2 linked regions of the Coturnix japonica genome follow. The protein of the gene in region 1 purifies or fractionates together with the protein of each later gene. This does not show direct contact. Links are inferred from orthologs where the notes say so. Each region holds a gene or a part of one and is shown on either strand. Other genes may lie near its edges. The genes, in order: ESPL1 and PPP2CA.

What was found.
Region 2: the proteins of ESPL1 (region 1) and PPP2CA purify together in Homo sapiens (affinity purification with mass spectrometry; 3 studies listed by BioGRID and IntAct, with this or other methods). This does not show direct contact. The link is inferred for Coturnix japonica from reciprocal best matches to the Homo sapiens genes ESPL1 and PPP2CA.

The regions. Positions count from the first base shown.
Region 1 is NW_015439867.1:541,800-546,060, forward strand, and holds the start of ESPL1 (separin), read right to left. Parts: upstream 2,805-4,261; 5' UTR 2,209-2,804; intron 1,581-2,208; 5' UTR 1,574-1,580; coding exon 1,493-1,573; intron 1,406-1,492; coding exon 374-1,405; intron 234-373; coding exon 129-233; intron 1-128. UniProt on the Homo sapiens protein: Caspase-like protease, which plays a central role in the chromosome segregation by cleaving the SCC1/RAD21 subunit of the cohesin complex at the onset of anaphase. During most of the cell cycle, it is inactivated by different mechanisms.
Region 2 is NC_029528.1:2,267,800-2,271,118, reverse strand, and holds the end of PPP2CA (serine/threonine-protein phosphatase 2A catalytic subunit alpha isoform), read left to right. Parts: intron 1-91; coding exon 92-253; intron 254-689; coding exon 690-808; intron 809-1,414; coding exon 1,415-1,487; 3' UTR 1,488-2,599; downstream 2,600-3,319. UniProt on the Homo sapiens protein: Catalytic subunit of protein phosphatase 2A (PP2A), a serine/threonine phosphatase involved in the regulation of a wide variety of enzymes, signal transduction pathways, and cellular events.

The sequences.
Region 1 (4,261 bases):
TGCAAGGGATGCAGTCAGAGGGATGGGGGTCCCATGGAGAGCCCTGCAGGGACTGAGGGCACATCTCTGGGGCAGCTCCAGGAGCTTCTGTGAGCCCCATTGGATGCTGCCCCCATCACCAGCAGTACCTGGGAGGAGCGGAAGGTATCGCAGGCAAAGCTGGTGAAGAGCTGGAGGCTGCGGTGCAGCAGCTGCTTCAGCACAAGCCGCTGCTTTGTGCCATCAGGAGGAACCTGAAGGAGGAAGGAGAAAGTCAACTGCGAGGCCACAACAGCAGCATGACCATTGGGAAGCGGGACACTGCTGGCAGGGCTACAAGGCCTCCAGCGCTCCTAATTAACAGGAGAGCTCTCATTAACCCCCAAAGCCTTACCATGGCCAGCAGCAGGCCAAGGACACGGCAGTGCCCTTCCACGAAGGCACAGAGCTGCAGCACATCCTCCGGAGGCAGCGGCTGCTGCTGGCTGCTCCTGGCACGTTCACTGAGGGACATGGTGACAAGTTGGCAGCCCTCAGCCAGCACCCTGAGGATGCGCCCCGAGACCTTCCCTGCACCACCCAGCGCTGCCGCTGCCTGCGCCAGGGCCGGCCCTGCTGAGCCCACCTTCTGGGCCAGCACCCGGCTCAGCTGCACGCCAGCCTCCAGCAGGGCCAGGGCCTCGCTGCACACCTTGGAGCCCCCCAGGAATCCTCGTGCATCTCTCACAGCCGCCTCCGCCTCCCCATAGCAGCCTCCCCTGCAGAGCTGCCGGCACTGCTCCAACAGCAGCTCCAACAAGCAAAGGGCCTGCGGCAGAGAGGGCGGCCGCGCCATGTCCTCACGGAGGGAGGTCAGGACACCCTGCAGCTCCCGGCCAAGGCAAGACAAGGACGGAGCCTGGGAGGCTTTGGAGAGAGTGGAGGCCACAGCCACCAGCTGCCGGGCAACCTGCGAGGTGAAGAAGGGCGGCACCAGGGGCAGCGCGGCCCCCTCCTCATCCTCCAGCAGCAGCACGAAGCGCAGGGCCTGCAGGCGGTCCCGCAGCGTCCCCTTGGTGCCCCACAGCGTGGAGAAGCAGCTGTGGGCAATAGCACTGAAGTTGGGTGACGGCGCGTGGTGCTGCTGGTGAGCGCGGAGCTGAGCGAGGATGAGTTCCGCTGCCCTCCTGCAGGCGTCACGATAGCCACGGGCAGCCATGTTCTTCAGCAGGTGGAAGAGGATCTTCTCCAGGTACAGAGGGGTCGGCGGGGCAGTGCTGCTGCAGACAAAGCCCCTGCAGGCTGCCTCGGCCAAGGCCATCACTGCGTTGGTGTGTGTGAGGTCGCAGCTGGGCTCCCCCACGCGCTGCACGCAGGCCCGCAGGATGCGGTCGCACACTGTGCTCTGTGCACTGCCCTGCACTGCTGTGCTGCTGGAGAGGCATTGCTGTAGGGGAGCAGAAAGAGGGAACGAGTGTGCAATCAGGGGTCGCTCAGCAAAGAGGTGGGACCCCCCCAACCCCCCTCAGCTCACCAGCAGCTCAGTCAGCAGCTCCTCTGTGCTCTCCAGGCTGGCGGTGCGGGACACGAAGTTGGCACCTTTGAGGCGTTTCATGGCAGCACTGGGGAGACAGAGATGGGGGAGTGAGGTGAGAAGGAAGGGGGGGGCAGAGATGTCCCACTGCGTGAAACCCCCCCAGCCTGAACTCCCATTTCCCACCACTCAAGGGCTGCCCTCTCAGTGCTCAGGGACCCCCTGAGCCCCGTTCTCTCCTCTCTCCCACCCCCCCTCTCCACCACCCCACAGCCCCCCAGCGGCCCTCAGGTATCAGACCCCCCTCTCTCCTCCAAAAGCCATTCCTTAGGGCACACATCCATCCCCCCCACATCAATCCACCCAGCAGGCTCTTCTCTCCCCCCCAAGGTTCGCCAATCCCCCCCATTCCCAATCCTCAGCCTCCCCAAGGACTGAAGCCCCCTCTGTGCCATCAGCTCCCCGTTTCATTGACCGCAGCCCCACACCCAGCCCCACTCTTACACCACCCTTATCCTAACGCCCCAGACTCCCACTGCCCCCCCCACCCCCACCCCGGGGCCTCCTTAAACTCCCCCCGCACCCGCTCCCTCCAACTCCTCGTTCCCAGCCCCCAGGGCCCCGCAGGCTCCTCCATCCCTTCTCCCCCATCCCTCCTCTCCCCCCACCCCCCCTATAGGTACCCAAACCCCCCGCTCCCCCCGGTTCGGACTCACTCCGTCCCCGCCGCCGCCGCCTCTAACTGAGCTCCAGCCCCGCCACGCGCCCCATTCAAGTCTGTCCCGCAGCCAATCAGCGCGCAACGGGGGGACGCCGGGACTTGTAGTGCTGAGCTCCGCCCCGGGACCGGAACCGGGACCGGGACCGAGACCGAGACCGGGACCGAGACCGAGAACGAGACCGAGACCGAGACCGGGACCGAGGAAAGCGGAGCGGGTCGGGCCCGGCAGGAGGGGCTGTGTGAGGCTGGAGCTGCGGAACGGACCGGAACAGAACGGACCGGAATGGAATAGAACGGAACGGAGCTCCGCCGTTATGGGGCTGCGCTGCCGCCCCGTCCCTCCCCTGCGCTGCTCCGTCCTTGGGATGTTATCGCTGCTCAGCGCTGCCCACACAGCCCGGACGGGAGGAACGGGCACACAACGTGTGATAACGTGTCCTTATCAGCGTGTGCTGCTGTATCCACTGCAGAGGGAACTGGATGGGCCAAGGTTAACGGCACGAGTTTCAATAGGACCAATGTCGGGTCCTGCATTTTGGTCATAACAACCCCTGGCAGCCCTACAGGGTTGAGGTGTTGTGGCTGGAAAGCTGCCTGATGGAAAGGGACCTTGTTGTGCTGATGGACAGTGGGCTGAATATGAGCCAAAAGGGCCAATGGCATCCTGGCTTGTACCAGGAATGGTGAGCAGGACCAGGGAAGTCATCCTGCCCTGTATTCAGCATTGGTGAGGCCTCACCTCGAGTGCTGTGTTCAGTTTTGGGCACCTCAGTACAAAAAGGACATGGAGGTGCTGGAGAAGGTCCTGAGAAGGGCAGCAGGGCTGGGGAAGGGCTTGGAGAATCAGCCCTATGAGCAGAGGCTGAGGGAGATGGGGCTGTTTGTGCTGGGGAAAAGAAGGTTGAGGGGAGACATTATCACCCTCTTCCAGTATCTGAAAGGTGCTTACAGTGAGAGTGGGGCTGGTCTCTTCTCACTAGCAACAAGTGACGGGATGAGGGGAAATGGCCTCAAGTTGTGCCAGGGCAAGTTTAGGTTGGATGTTAGGAAGAACTTCTTCATAGAAAGGGTAGTTAAGCACTGGAATAGGCTAAACAGAGAGGTGGTTGAATCGCCATCCCTGGATGTGTTTAAGAGCCGTTTGGATGTGGTGCTCAGGGATATGATTTAGCAGAGGGTTGTTAGTTATGGTGCTATGATTAGGCGGAGGTTGGACGTGATGATCTTCGAGGTCTTTTCCAACCTGGGAAATTCTATGATTCTATGAAAAGAAACACGAACAACAGGAAAACTGCACTGATTTGGTGGAGCCCGTGAGATGGGATCCACACAGCGGGCAGAACTGGACTAAAGGCTGACAGAGAGCATCAATACCTTAACAGAAGACATCAATACCTTAACAGAGAGCATCACATGTTAACAGAGGGCACCAGCACGTTCCCCTTCGATGTCCTTAAGAGCTTCTCTGGCTGTCACGGCTCTCTTTGGGACAAGAGGAGCCGTTGTGGGGGATCAGAGGGTTCGGAATAAGGTGTTGGGGGTGATGGTGGAGGAGCAACAGTGGGCCGGCAATGGGCTGACAATGGGCCGAAAATGGGCCGACAATGGGCCGGCAATGGGCTGACAGACAATGATCTGACAGACAATGATTTAACAGACAACGGGCCGAACTCTTGTCCCGCTTGGAAATGCCTGATCTCGAGGTCACTGAGCTCCGAACTTCATCCCAACCGAGATGCAGCGATCAGAGTTGATGCCACCCTCGGACCAATCGCAGCGCGTCTTTCACCTGCCACGAGTGGCTCGTCCAATGGGAGGCGGCGTTGCTCTTCCCGTCCCGCCTCGGAGCCAATCAGCAGCGAGCTACGAGGAGGTGGGCGGGACTCGGCGAAACCGAAAGTAAAACCAAAAGCCGGCCGTGATGGCGGCTGCCCCAACCCACTCCCTGCCCCCCAGAGCAGTGGATGCTGTTCTTGCCCGGTGTGGCCATCAAGGTGGTGGGGACCATCACCCAGCAGCATCACGCTGCAGCTCGTTTCCTATCAGGG
Region 2 (3,319 bases), on another chromosome or scaffold:
GACAACGTGAGTGTGTAGGTTATGTTTTTTGTTCTTGCCTTTTTTTTTTTTTTTGCTTCAATTTATGAAACACTTTCCAAATCTCTTACAGGGTCCAATGTGTGATCTGTTGTGGTCGGATCCAGATGATCGTGGTGGCTGGGGAATTTCTCCTCGAGGTGCAGGTTATACATTTGGACAGGATATTTCAGAAACCTTTAACCATGCTAATGGCCTTACGCTGGTTTCAAGAGCCCATCAGTTGGTAATGGAGGTAAGCAGCAAAGGCTGTGTGTTTAAGCTGTTTATAGTGTAGTCAGTTGTTGTGGTGCCCGAGATGTGCACTTGGCCTCTTTACAAGGTTTGTGTGTGGTTTTCTTCTTGGTTGTTCCTAGAAGTTAACCTCTAATCATCAAAACCAGAACCCACACCTTTAAAACATCGTGTAACTCAGAATTGGTATTTTAATTTTTAACAAAGTAGTGGAGAGAGAAGTCTTGCTATTTTTTAAATGTGCTTATCTAATGCTTACTATAGGATGATGTTATATGCTATGGTATGCAATTCCTATTTTCCCTTTTCATTTGAGAAGAGAAATAGACACAGAGCTTAGTGTTACTTAAAACTGCAAAGCCTATGTAGTTTAGTAGTAAGTTACGGGGTGCAACAAATGAATGTGGTTTTCCTAAATAGTTTATTTTCCTCTCCAGGGGTACAACTGGTGCCATGATCGGAATGTAGTAACAATTTTCAGTGCTCCAAACTATTGCTACCGTTGTGGCAACCAGGCTGCAATTATGGAACTTGATGATACTTTAAAATACTCCTTGTAAGTACGCTTAGAAATGAGGTCTGTGTTGCACATGATTTTAAGATCTAATAAGTGGTATTTTGCTACAGTAACTAATTGTGGTTTTGAGGTAGGGTTTTTACCCTGTACACCTTCAGGAGGTGACCTGACAGTGGAATGGTTGGGCTACTCATATGTAAGAAGCTTTACAGTCAGATATTGGAAACTGTTGTTGCTGACATCTGGACAGCTGTCATTAAGCTCATTACATACAATAAAGTCAGAGTTTAATGAAATACTACAGAAGTATTTCATTTTAAGTTGGATTACCTGAGGTAATTATGCCCACCTTTAAGTCTAGGGCAAGAGACTGACAGTCTTGTTAGGATGTTGACTTCTGGAGCTGCTGTAGCAGTTTTACTAATAAATGAGGAATTGTATAAAGTACTGTGTAAATTAACTCTTTGATAATTACTGGAGGCTCCTAGCGTCTAGATGTATACTGATATCTGACCGGTTTGAGTCGTAAAGCCAAGATTTGTTTCTTCCAAGTGCATAGAAATAATCCATAGATAAGTTTAAAATACTTCTGAAAAAATACCTGCGTGTGAATGGGATGCTGCCATTAATACGTGTGCTTCTCAGTTTGCAGTTCGATCCAGCGCCGCGCAGAGGTGAACCGCATGTGACTCGTCGCACCCCGGATTACTTCCTGTAAAGAGATTATAGACCTGTACAGTATTGCCATGAACCATATGTTGACCTAAAGAAAATGGGAAGAGCAACAGTAACTCCAAAGTGTCAGAAAATATTTAACATTCAAACTTGTTTTCACATGGACCAAAAGACGTGCCATATTCAAATACAAAGCCTCTTGTCGTCAACAACTGTGACCACTTTAGAATGAACCAGTTCATTGCATGCTGAAGCAACATTGTTGGTCAAGAAACCAGTTTCTGGCATAGCGCTATTTGTAGTTACTTTTGCTTTCTCTGAGAGACTGCAAATAATAAGATGTAGACATTAACACCTCGTGAATACATTTAACTTTCCATTTAGCTATAGCTTTATTCAGCATGACTGTAGATAAGGATAGCAGCAAACAATCATTGAAGCTTAAAGAACATTTTTAAAATAAGTACCAAGGCTTCATATTTGTTCTGAAACTTGTTTGTTTGTTTTTGTTTTCAGGGAATACCGTTTAATTTAATTGTATTGATTTTTTTTGTCTGCACTCAGTTCCCTTTTCCACTCTTTGCCCAGCCATTTTGTCCCTTGTAATTGTCGGAGCTTAGTGAGTTACTTTGAACAGAACTGTTTTTTTTCTGTAAAACAATGTTACTGCAGGACGGAGCTGCAGTGTTTTTCATAATAAACTTGTGAACTAAGTATGGAAAAATGTCAAATTCTAATTGCATCTCAGGTCAGCTCTGGTTTAATAAACGAATGCACAGCTGGGTAGGTTTTATAAACCTGGAGAGAAATTTCCACCGGAAATAATGGAAAAAACAAAAATGAGGTGATTGGAATGTGCTGGAAAACTGCGACCTTCTGAATTCTGCCCTGGTGAGATGCCCGGTCCTGCGGTGTGATGTAGCTGAGAACAGAGCTCACTCACCACTGAAATGTTGCTCTCTTTTTTTTTTTCCCCTCTTGGTGCTCTGTGAAATGTTCAGAAGTAGAAAAATACAAATTAACTGATCGAGCATGGCTGTTTTTCAAGTGTAAATCTGAGTTATTTCCATTGTAGGTGCTAATACTTCAGAAAAAATCTGAAAAACTAAGAATAAAACCAGTTTTCTAAATATTAAAGGAATAACTTGAAATTCAGTACTATGTGTATTGCCCAGGCTTCCGTTACAAAGCTAAGTGTGATTTGTGTTAACTTCTGTTTAAAAGCTTTTTCTTTCCCCTAATCTGAATCTGGTGACGATTTTGTTCAAAACACATTCAAATGTTCTGCATTATTAAGGCTCCTGCTTGCAACTTCTTACTGGACACATCTTAGAAGAGCTTAGTTGGCTGTTCGAAAGGAGGCCCCAATGCTATTCAGACTGTTTAAAAGACTCTGGCTTTTGGGCTCAGTGTGACAAAACAGAGGGGTGTTCTTTCTTATACACAGAAATGTGTGCAGGTCTGCCTTCACACACTTTTTTCCTTGCTTTTCTGAGGTTTTCTCTTGAAGGGCTGCGTAATTGTCAGACTTGCAAGACACTTCACAACTCATTAATTCACACCTTTTCTGGAAGGTTTGAGGGGTTACTTTTTTCTTTAGCAAAAATTCTACCTTCAGGTGGAGCTCCAAACTGTTTCTGGAAAGCTCAGTCCTGCTGAAGCGTGACCTTTTACAGGGAGAAGAGCATTCTAAAGCTAATGCTCACGTGGAGGTGTTCCTTTTGTTGTTGTTTATATCTCATATGTTGGGAGCTTTTGATCACTAACAAAAAGAAGCTCCTTTGCTTTAGATAGTAGTTCATTAAGTTCCCTTTCCTCTCATTTGCCTCTTGTCCTTCTGCAGATAGAACTTTGTGCCTTCATTGATACAGTTCT